Oryza sativa Japonica Group: one gene and its partner. The protein of the gene in region 1 binds, or shares a complex with, the protein of each later gene. Links are inferred from orthologs where the notes say so. Each region holds a gene or a part of one and is shown on either strand. Other genes may lie near its edges.

Region 1 (6,793 bases):
TCAAATAAAAAGTGTCCATATCTAATTCATGAAATCAAATTTGAAACACACAATTTAGTTATATGTGAGGAACCAAATAAAAAAAATATATAAGAAAACACAAGATTCACTGACTAGAAATGTAGTAGATGGCTCTGTTCGCCTACTTCAATTATAGACTAGAAACTGCATGGATTCAAAACTGGTAATATTGTTGCTTTGCTTACACTCCATATTTTCATTTTGCAAACATCATCTGTACTGTTCAATCTGCTTATTTTCTAACAAAAAAAAGGATAGTAAAAGTATGGAAAACCCATAAGCTATTCATATTCTTTTATTGAATTTGTTTCTCAGCAGATCATGGATGCAAAACATAATCAGAGAGCAAAGTGATTCAAACAGCTTAAGTAAAGAGGAGCAGAATCTACCCATTTGTGCTACAGGATGATAAACGTATAGAAGTAGGAAATCTATACAGACTGCAAATAGAGTGCTGGTGTGACCTTTAGATTGGACAACTTGAAACATACCTTATGTGTATTGAGCTTTCCTTTGCAGCTCGTAGGTTTGAATCCTCTGGAGGAAGTAGCTTACACAACGCCAGAGCCTCCTCAAATTCACCAGATGCAGTCAACTGCACTATCTGTAGACCAACATATGTAACGATGCAAATGTAAGAGCTAAGAATCAATCCTGAGAAACAACTTGTAAAATGATCAAGGCTGATTATTTAGCATGTACATGAAAGAAATAAAATCCATAGAAGAAGCCTTATAACAATTGGTACATGCTATGGATTGGCTAGGGTAAGGGCCCGAAGACCGGGGGATAGGGCACTCACCCTCTAATAGCAGTGGCGGGGCTTCTCCCTGCTGAGCTAAAAGAGGCTCCGAGGCTTAGGGCTAACTTTAGAGATTCATTGATTGATTGATAATAGAGTACATGGTGTCCCTTTATATATAGGGAGGATAGACTAGACACATAAGGAACTAGTCTCTACTATTATATAAACCAATCCAATCTCTATCTCTAACTTTCTAATAAACCTCATCCCTTTCCTAACTAGGTAATCTCCTATATTTATGTGACTTATTCCTAAATTATCATGCCTAAACTGTTGCATGGGCCTAGCCCATGCCCATAACAGTACAAGATCTTATAAAGGGCACCAACAATGGTTATTTTGGGAAACTATACCAAAAGTTAGCATGAAACAGCTTAGTGCTGTGATTTGTGATATCAAGATAAACTACTAGAAGCCCGTAGGCAGTGGAAGGATGGCTAGATGGTGCATGTGTGGCACTGTGTCAGGACGGGCAGCCACAATTTGGAGGTGATGTGGGTGAGCAAGGCTGTGAACAGTAACATTTTAGGAACACGGAACAAAAGATATCATATAATGTCTACAGAAATGTGCTCATCGAAATTAATAAACCAAAGTACCAGACACAGCACAGCATACCTGGGCACCAATAGGAACAGGCAACAAGCCATAAACAGAGCGGGCTAGCACAGCAAGTATACAGTTCTCAGTTTCAACAAGCTTTTGAACATCACGAAGTACAACCGTCTGAACCAATGCATTGGGGGCTCTAAGGGACCGTATCTGAAACAAAACCAAGTAGTCAGGTGGAACGATGTAACTATAGCTTTAGTATACAAGATGAATAAACTCACCTCAACATGCCGTGGCAGGCGTGCCACCGCATATGGCCTATGTATAGCAACAGAGGCAGGCGTGTCTGACCAAATTATCCTGCCATCTTGAATAAGTTTCCCATTTTGGTCAACAAATACTCCAATATTATCCTGAGTAAACAAAGTAAATAGTACATGATTGAGCTAAGATTAAAGAAACTTACAAGTGAAAACAAGTTACTACATTCAGACCAACTGCCCCATCATTCCTCTAAAGCAGAATACTTTCATCTTTGAACCAAACAAATATCACAAAATGATTTCATCTAACCAAGCAATTTCATCAAATGGCAAATTGACAACAAAACATATATAATATCACAAAAAAAATTAACGTTATACCTTTCCCAGGAGGAGCTCCCCAGTAGGAAGAGCCACAACTAAAGGTGGAGCATTCCTTCCAGAAGAAAACACTTCAGTTAATGCACCAGTCATACTATTTATGATCATATACTCCTTTCTAATCCCAAGACAAATGTTGTCGCCACACCAGGCCATTGATTTCACGGTATCCGGAACTCCAAATTCCTTCACCTCAACAAACTCCCTCCCACCTGATAAACAGAAATTAAGTCACCATGCAACGCGTATTCAGAACAAGATCATTCAGCCATTTGATTTCTTTCAAGATTACCATAATCAAAATTTTAAAGGCACAACACAAACTCTAGTCTTAAGTTATGCCAAATGCTGCTAAATACATTTATTCTGATATACCTTGCACTTACAACAGTACTAAAAAAATTTTACAGGTCGTTTTTCCTTTACCAGTTTCAGCAAACAAAAGGCTAATGTTTCGTAAGCTTTTTCCCAAATTCAAGATACAGATAAATTACAAAAAGAAAACCCTGTTACCGGTTCCAGCACACAAAATTCTATTACTTCAGAAACTTCTTCTGAATTCTAATGATGCCTACATGTGCATGCAATTTGTGCCAAAAACAAAATCTACGATCAAGCAAATGACAAGAAAATTCATGAACACATGATTTCCTTGGTATGCTGTATCAATGTAGAGTTAGCAGAATAACACATTTTCTTTAAGTGGAATAATGAAATCGTGTGCCTTAGCAAAAATGTCTATATATCATCTTCATCTAACACCATTAGAACCAGAATAATTCTGGAATGTATGAACATGTTTTAACTGAAATATTTCATTGTGCCCAACATGTGGAAAAACAAAAAGGATCAGTAATTATTGCCAGAAAAAGAATAATCAAAGAGTGAATATACCAATTAATGATTCAAAAGTTTAATATCCTACACAAATAGCTTCCAACTACAAGAAATTCACTTATTAATCCCCCATGGTGTTCATAGAATATATCGCATCATTAGAACAGTAACTGTATTTTTCCACTAAAACATTTAGCCAACTTAAATAGATTAACTAAAGCCTGGAATTAACTCGAGTGTTTTTCCCTTTCTCCAACAGATCCCAAGTCCCAGCTAAGAACATCAATTCAGACTACACGGCCCCAATTCAATCCAGACTTCCCATTCTCCAAATTGAGCAGTACCAACAGGCCATCTCCATTTCCACCGAAACCCAAATGATGTAACAGTCAAATCATAGCCACAAACACTCAAATCACAACGAAAACGAATAGGCAATGCGGCCGAATTCTCACTGTCAAGGCGGAAGATGGTCAGGCGCTTCCAGCGGCCGACCGCGAGGAGGCCCCGGCGGTCGTCCCAGGCGAAGAGGTTGGCGCCCTTGGTCTTCCCGATGACGGCGACGGTCTCGAGCCCGGGGAGGCGGTGGAGGTTGACGCACTCGGCGAGCGAGAGCAGGAGCTCGCGGCCGGCGCTGACCTCCATCGCCAGGGGCGTCCCGCGGCGCCACAGCGAGGGCTGCTGCCGCTCCAGCGCGTACGGCCCGTCCCGCGGGATCCCGCCGCCGGCGTGGCCCGGGGAGGCGTAGATGCGGAGGGAGCCGTCCTTCCCCGCGACGAGGAGCCTCCCGGCGTAGGCGGCCACGGCCACGATGTCGCCCGGCACGCCGGAGACCAGCTCGACGGCGTCGTACGCGCTGTGCACCATGGCTGCCGCGGGCCCCCCCCCCCCGATCGGGCGGCGGTCTCCCGCCCCGGCGGCGGCGAGGCGAGTCGGCCGCGGCGGCGATCGTCGCGTGCGGCGAGGCGAGAACGAAAAGGGGGAAGAGCGAGATCGTTGCGTCGAGGACTCTGGCTCGGCTAGGCCATGATGGTATACGGAATGGGGGGTATAGTATAGCTGTATAGGTATACGGGATACAAACACATATTGGATTATTATTGGCATTGCTCGACCTTCAATAAAAACAATTATTTTCTTAAAGAAAAACCTCTTCTGATACGTTACTTAGATCACCTGTTCGTTCTAAATTTGTAAAACTTATTTATTAAAATATTAATTTATTTTGTTAATGAAATAGATATAATCCGTGCTAATAATCTTGTCGGTAAATAGGAGTTTGATTCATCGTGTGATGGCGCATGAAGCACACATGTTATATATGCTTTCTGACTTTGTTTTGCTGTTGTTTTGTTTGTACTTTAAAATAATATAGTTTTTATCAATCGTAAAAATTATCTTCACATGTTGCAATGCACATGCATTTTTGCTAGTCTAGAAAAAAAAATAGGGATATAACCCCTTTCCCTCTCCCTCTCTCCATTATACTCTCCTCGTTCCGGTCTCCTCCTTCGAATACCCCGCTATTGGAGCCCCTCCCCCTCCGTCGTTCTCCTTACCACCCACCGCCGGTGCCCCTCTCCCCCTCCCCTCCTCTCTTCAGTGACGTCGACATCGATGCCACCTTACCCCTCCACTCATGGCCGGCTGATGCAAGTGGCCACCACTACCTCTCCCGTCTCGCTTAGGGGGGCGGCGTGGCCGTCGAGCTCCGGCCGGCACGGACCCAGGGGTGGTGCGCCCAGCGAGCTCCTGGCGGCGTGGATTAAGGGGCGATGTGGCTGACACGGATTGGGAGACGCCGTGGCCGGCGAGCTCCGGCTGATGCGGATCAGGAGGCGGCACGGTGGAGTTGCTTTGGTGGTGATGCGATGGATCCCAACGATGATGCTCATAGGTCGCTGGTAGGCTCCACTTCTGCCCGCCACTCTCGTTCTCCCTTCCGCCGCCTTCTTGTCATCGCTTCTCTCTCCCTTCTGTTGCCTTTGCGCTAGGGCACTAGTTGTTGGTGCGAGAGAAGGAGAGCGTGGGAGGGGAATACACGAAGCCACGGAGTGATGAGATGATGACCTCCACAACGCGGCGCCCCGCCTTTCTCCCCACGCCGCACTCCCTCAATGGAGACGAAGTCCGTGTGCCCAATTTTGACTTCATGTGCTTCGTTTGGCTCCGCGGGTGATCGATGTGGAGGCGAATATTCTGCGTCGGGTGTTTGGGCCGAACGACACGGAGGCGCACTATGACCGCCAGCTAGATGCGCCGCCATTGCCGAGGTAGTCGCAACTAGGCTTTGGATCCCAGCTAGAAGAAGTCCCGCTGCCAGCTTCAGCCACCGTAGTTTGTTAGGGACGAGGTGGTCGCTGCTGATGTTGACACTCAACATAGTTGTCGTGGCCTCTAGAGATCTGAACTTGATGAGAAGTCATCGGCCTAAGCCCTAAAGATGGTTACTGCTGCCGACTTTCTAGAGTTCCATGTCGTCTCGGGCTAGAGGTATAGATGGCCATATGGCACAAGGCCCGCAGCCCGCCCCAAGGCACGCCAATTTGGCCCAGCCCAAGCAGGGCACAGCCCGACTGGGGTTGTGCTCGTGCCGGCCCGGTACAGCATGATCGGAAAAAAATAGTAGAGAGACGTAAATTAGACTTAGTTAACCATATAAGACAAATGCTCAAAGACAAGAGGAATACAAATAGACTTCTTTTGCAGCTATATGGACACAGTCCAGAGAGTTTAGATAGGAAAAATAGACCTTTTTTTTAAAAAAAAAGCACGATAGGCTGTCGTGCCTTCGTTCGAACCGGCACGACCCGAGTCTTACTTGGTCTCCAGACCGGCTGAGTGCACTTGCTGCAGCGAACTGTCACGACCTGGTTACTTTCTCATTTCTTCCTCGCTCGCGCGCTCTCTCTCTCCCTCTCTCTCTCTCTCTCTCGGTCCACGACCACAACTCCACAAGCACAGCTGCACAAGTAGCTCGCTGACGCCTCCAGCCTCCCATGGCCTCGTGGACCCGTAGTCCAACTGTCCAAGTTCGTGTGAGCCAATACAATCGGGAGATAAATATCACAACGAAACCACCTGATGGACCCACAAGGCAGTGAGAGAAACAACCATTTCTCTCCTCTCCCGAGGCGCATGCAAATGCTTCCAAAAAATTTGAGAAGCTTTGGTGTCAAAAAAAAAAAAACTTTGAGAAGCTTTTGGGGCCCACGTCCCGGGCCCCACCGCCTCCACCTCATCGTCCTCCTCCTCCGCTTCGCATTTCCTCTTCGAGTACAAGTAGTACTACTAGTAGTCATCGACTCGTCACGCGCAGCCGCGAACCCATTTCCAGAGCGAGAGCGGAGAGCGCACCGCCATTGCCGCACAGCTCCACCGCCCGCAGGCGAGTACCCGGCTCGGGAGGGAGGTGGTTTGGTGCTGGAGATGGCGGATCGTCTCACCGATGAGCAGATCGAGGACGTGCTCGCGCTCTTCGGCCGGAACGGTACGTGCTGTGTCGTCGTCGTTCTCGAGAGCGAGCACCATCACGGCGTCGAATCGGTTGCGAGTTCTTCCTTCCGCTACTTCTCTAGTAACCCGTTGCTTCGTTGGATCGTGCTGCGGCTGTTTCTGTGTATGCTGCGCGGTGATCATGCTTGATCGGTCAAGACGAGGCTGCATTTTGCTGCAATTTGTTCTGGGTGATCATGATTGCTGCGCTTGCTAGATCAGTTTGCACTGGATTCGTGAAAGTGGAGAATACCTACATGTAACGTTGCTTTCTTGTAGATCGTCGGACGGCGGCGGCGTCGGCGACGGCGACGGTGACGAAGGTCATCATCATGGAGGCGCCCGAGACGGGACCGAGGGCGGTGGCGGCGGCGGTGGTGGCCGCGGCGAGGAGAAGCACAAGGCCGTAAGTTCGCTTGCCTCTAAATCTCGCGGGCTC
Region 2 (5,215 bases), on another chromosome or scaffold:
CAAGTGTCAAGATTGCAGCAATTCGAACAGATTCATCTCAAGGACTCAATGGCATACAGAGGAGTATCACTGCAAGTAATGAGAAGTACGTGGATATTGTGGGTTCGTTCCAAACAGGCTATCACATATCCGGGATTGCTCCATTTGGTGATCTTTTAGTTGTGCTTGCATATATTCCAGAGGAGGAAGACAGAGAAAACAGTTTTAGCAATTCTGTTCCTTCACGTCAGGTAATCATGATGGCTTGTCCTTTGCACTGCACTCTGTAAATCTATTTTTCTCCTTTATTGTGTCATGACCCGAGGTCATGACAGGATAAACACCGCCGGGAAGATAGCCGGGCGGCGTCATCTCCTGGAGAAGGGATGTAGATTTAGGCTAGGGAGAAGAACATTATTGGGAGAGAGAGATTAGACTAACTGATATTCATTGCTTAACTTGAGATGAATACAATCCATCCCTTATATAGAGATGATATGACTTGACCCTTAAGAAACTAACTCAAACTAACTCTATCTAATCCTATCCTATCTCCTAACCAACTGCTACAGTACTCGTGGTACTGTTTATCCGCTAGGACTTGGCCTCGTGGGCCTCGGCCTCTCTGCCCAACGCCTATGACATATTGTGCACCAGATTCCTTTTCTTATGAAGTGATGCTGTTCCCACATTTACCTTTTTCGTTATGTTTAAACACTTTGTAGGGAACTGCCCAGCGTCCAGAAATACATCTTGTATCATGGAAAAATGATGAACTTACCACAGATGCTCTTCCTATTCATGGTTATGAGCATTATAAGGCAAAGGATTATGCTCTTGCTCATGCTCCTTTCTCAGGTTTAATGAAATGTGCTTTAACAGTGAATGAACTTCTCTTTTCTTCTTCACTGAAACTTTTCTAATGAAGGAATTTTATTGTTATATTTTTACCACCCAGGAAGCAGCAATGCAGGTGGACAGTGGGCTGCTGGTGATGAACCTTTATATTACATTGTATCTCCTAAAGATATAGTGGTCGCAAAGCCAAGGTTTGTAATGTTGCAAAACAAAGGATTATATTAGCTTCTAAGTTCTGCAATTGCAAATGAAAGAAGGCAATAATTGATTGAGCAAAACTTCTCTTTTTGAAAATGTGATCTTCCTTCGTCATATTTTCTCTGATTGTAATCTTGAAGAACTCCATTAGTCCTTCAATTTTCTGCATTATTTAATTGTGATACACATGTAAGCTTGGCTACTTGCAGTAGATCACTTCAGTTGCATATCTGATTCTGTGGCATTTAATTTTCTTCTAACTACAAGTAGCATACGTAGAACAATACTAAGCTAGTTTCTTCTGATAATTTCCAGCCTATTTGTGTTTCTGAGCTTTCTATAAGGACATGGCAAAATTTCATTTCAGAAAATGTTGTATCTTTATATTTCTACTGATATAATATGTGCTTTCAAATTAGAGATGCTGAAGACCATATTTCTTGGCTTCTTCAACATGGTTGGCATGAAAAGGCATTGGCTGCAGTTGAAGCAGGACAAGGACGAACCGAGCTTCTTGATGAGGTAAAGTAGAAACAGTTTGAGTTTGAACAGTAAATGAATAATGGTATGCATTATCTGCTTGATGATGAGGATGCTACCCTTATTGTTTAGGAACCTTCAAGTAGACACCTTTAAGGTCCATTATGGCAACTGAGGTCCCCATCCCCTTCTATAGTTTTGTTGGCGATTATCACGTTCACAATATTGAGCATTTTAGCTGAAAACAATGGGACCTGTATCATGTACCAATAGGTGTTTATATTTAAGCTGGCTCGTCTTTAGACTATTGTTGTCATGAGTTAAGGTGGTCCTAACAATGTGAACAACAAATACATTCTGAAATTCTATGCATATTTTAGAAGTTTGCTTCCTATCTTATATATATTATGCTGGTCTGATGCATATTTTAGAAGTTGACAGCACTTCAACAACATAACCCAGTCAGTATCTTATGAGCCCATTTTTTTAGGAAGGACGACCTCAGCTATTAAGAAATCTAACCACATAATAGCTAGGAACATTATTGAAATTTTGTTCATGCCATCTTATGTCAGGTGGGTTCGAGATACCTTGATCATTTGATAATTGAAAGAAAATATGCTGAAGCTGCACGCCTCTGTCCAAAATTGTTGCGAGGATCTCCTTCAGCATGGGAGAGGTGAGAAAAAAAGAAGTGTTGATATACATTGTATCCTTCATCATACGATCTGGAACAAACACAGGAGCATTATGAGATTTTGATGTGCATTGTTTGTTTTAGTTGATCACTAGTATATCTACTGACCATAACTTTTTTTGTGCCACAGGTGGGTCTTTCACTTTGCCCATCTTCGCCAACTTGCTGTATTAGTTCCTTACATACCTACAGAGAATCCTCAGCTGAGTGATACAGCTTACGAGGTGCCATTACTTCTTTCTATTTTGCTTGCTTGCTCTTTACAACACCTCTGATTCTAATACTAATTCTAATTGGTTTATGTAGGTTGCTCTTGTAGCTTTAACTACCAATCCTTCTTTTCATGAACTTCTCTTGACAACTGTAAAAAAATGGCCACCTACATTATACTCCGCTTCACCTGTCATATCTGCAATTGAGCCACAGCTAAATTCCTCTTCAATGACTGATTCATTAAAAGAGGTATGGAAACATTTTCTTAATGGATGTAAGACTTACACAGTATTTTTGAGCTCTTTGACATCTTGGTTCTGTTTGCCATGTAGGCTTTAGCTGAATTGTATGTCATCAACAGTCAATATGACAAGGCCCTTTCTCTGTATGCTGAAGTAAGTATTACCTAACTTGTAGTTAAAAGGTTCACATTGCATTAAATTAATAGAATTTTGTTTTATTACCTGTATTGTTGACCCAACCTCATTTCATTCAGCTCTTGAAGCCAGAAGTATTCGAATTTATTGAGAAGCACAACTTGCATGATGCCATTCATGACAAGGTATGGTTAAAATTCCCAAATGTAGGATAAAACTGATCTCACTTGACTTTTTTTTTCAAGTTTGCATTTGTGAATTGTCAAGTGTCATGGTAGCAATTGTCTAATAATGGTACTTACATATGGTTACAATGTAGTTGAACATGATAATATATTTTAGACAGAGACAGGCTTCAATAACCTCCATATATTCACTTATGGGCCTTGCGTATTTCGCAGGTTGTCAATCTTATGATATTGGATAGTAAAAGAACTGTAAACCTATTGATCCAGCATCGTGATACGATCCCCCCGAATGAAGTTGTAGGACAGTTGTTGCATGCTAGTAAAAGTTGTGACAAAAGACATTTGTTGCATCTGTATTTACATGCTCTGTTTGAGACAGACATGAATGCTGGAAAAGACTATCATGACATGCAGGTATGCTGATTCTTCTGTGAACAAGCAGTCTTTATCATACTGTTCACCTCCTGCCCATTTGCCCTATTTCTGTAGCTCTAGTTTTTGTATTAGTATAACAGCTAACCACATTACACTTTGTGTTGTAGGTGGAGCTTTATGCAGAGTATGAGCCAAGGATGCTAATACCCTTCCTCCGTACCAGTCAGCATTACAGGCTTGACAAGGTCATAAACTCATAATTCTCAAAAGAGAAAAAAAAAGCATTCATTATCTTGAGAAGGATGAGTAATGAATGACATGTGGTTATTTCAGGCATATGAAATCTTTGCACAAAAAGAGCTTGTACGGGAGCAAGTTTTTGTGCTTGGTCGTATGGGAAATGCAAAGGAAGCTCTCTCTACAATTATAAACAAATTGGAAGATATTCAGGAGGTCCTAATGTGGTTATGATCATTTTGTTAAAAATTTGGGGCTAGACTAGCAATTCTAGACTGTGGTTGGATTGCAATAACAGTAACCTTGGATGCAGGCCGTTGAATTTGTGATGGAGCAACACGATGATGAGTTATGGGAGGAATTGATAAGACAGTGCCTCCAAAAACCTGAGATGGTAATTGAGCTGTGTATTCTGTTCAATACTCTTGACACTGATGTTCCTTCTGTTTATTCATTGCATTTTTGTAACCGTTGAGCAGGTTGGAATGCTGTTGGAACATACTGTTGGCAATCTTGATCCTTTGTACATTGTTAGTTTGGTTCCTGATGGGCTAGAAATACCAAGGTAAATGTGCCAAAATTTGTTTCGTTCAAAGATAATGAGAACCTACCCCCAAAAAAAAAAACATCACATATACACCTTACGAAACGAATTTCTATCATCAGATGATCAGAAATTCAGAATCCACCAATTACTTATATACAAATTATTAGCTATGACCATCACTCAGTTTATTATAATAATTATAGGGCTATATTGACACTGTAGAATAGAGATGCTACAACTTTATTTAATCCAATCCTTCTCTTCCCTGGTTCAAGTGTTCATTGAAATATTACGCTTTTGATAGGTTGCGGGATCGCCTTGTGAAAATTGTGACAGACTATCGAACAGAAACTTCATTAAGACATGGGTGCAATGATATACTTAAGGTTAATATTCAAGAAAAAGATATACTTAAGGTTAGTTGTCTATTTATTACCCCACATCTATCTTGACGTTTGATGACCCTGCCATGTACAGGCTGATTGCGTAAACCTTTTGGTAAAATATTATCACGAGGCTCGGCGTGGAGTCTACATGGCTAGTATGGACGAGGAGGTGACAGGAACTAGGGTTGCTGAAGGATCTTCACGAGCAAACGAGAGATCATCAAGTTTACGAGCTTTAGAGATCAAATCCAGAACAAGGTGTGGTGCTCGGTGTTGCTTGTGCTTTGATCCTTTGTCGATTCAGGACATCTCTGTCATCGTGTTCTACTGCTGCCACGCATATCACACGTCTTGCCTCGAAGGCGGGTTGGACTTGATGAAATCGAACAGTAGTACTCAGGACAGCGACGAGGATGATGAAGGTACCCCATCAGGCGAGTCTCGAATGCGCTGTGTATTGTGTACTACAGCTGCTGCATAATAACTTATTTCGTAACGAGTAGTCCATATCCATGTGTTGTGTTGTAAGTTTGAGCCTTGTAATTAGCGTGTTATTCTGGCGTGATAAATATGTACAATAGGTTAATTCTTTGGGGGGAAGCCATATCCTCAGCAAGAGGAGTTTTGTGTAGATTTGACAGATATGTTGATTACTTGAGCAAAGTTGTACGGCATTTTTC

What was found. The genes of interacting proteins can lie anywhere in the genome.
Region 2: vacuolar sorting protein 39 (region 1) and vacuolar protein sorting-associated protein 41 homolog share a complex: the UniProt entries of both Arabidopsis thaliana proteins name them as parts of the homotypic fusion and vacuole protein sorting (HOPS) complex. The link is inferred for Oryza sativa Japonica Group from reciprocal best matches to the Arabidopsis thaliana genes EMB2754 and VPS41.

The regions. Positions count from the first base shown.
Region 1 is NC_089037.1:29,849,513-29,856,305, forward strand, and holds the start of vacuolar sorting protein 39, read right to left. Parts: upstream 3,881-6,793; 5' UTR 3,727-3,880; coding exon 3,315-3,726; intron 2,235-3,314; coding exon 2,023-2,234; intron 1,792-2,022; coding exon 1,660-1,791; intron 1,589-1,659; coding exon 1,445-1,588; intron 626-1,444; coding exon 513-625; intron 22-512; coding exon 1-21. Other genes in the region: uncharacterized protein, read left to right, coding at 6,289-6,349, 6,634-6,760. UniProt on the Arabidopsis thaliana protein: Essential protein required during embryogenesis. Believed to act in part as a component of the putative HOPS endosomal tethering complex. HOPS is required for the central vacuole formation.
Region 2 is NC_089038.1:6,606,914-6,612,128, forward strand, and holds part of vacuolar protein sorting-associated protein 41 homolog, read left to right. Parts: coding exon 1-230; intron 231-704; coding exon 705-837; intron 838-937; coding exon 938-1,028; intron 1,029-1,454; coding exon 1,455-1,557; intron 1,558-2,090; coding exon 2,091-2,194; intron 2,195-2,342; coding exon 2,343-2,436; intron 2,437-2,518; coding exon 2,519-2,674; intron 2,675-2,757; coding exon 2,758-2,820; intron 2,821-2,921; coding exon 2,922-2,987; intron 2,988-3,203; coding exon 3,204-3,404; intron 3,405-3,532; coding exon 3,533-3,610; intron 3,611-3,698; coding exon 3,699-3,818; intron 3,819-3,915; coding exon 3,916-3,996; intron 3,997-4,081; coding exon 4,082-4,167; intron 4,168-4,453; coding exon 4,454-4,565; intron 4,566-4,626; coding exon 4,627-5,016; 3' UTR 5,017-5,215. UniProt on the Arabidopsis thaliana protein: Required for vacuolar assembly and vacuolar traffic.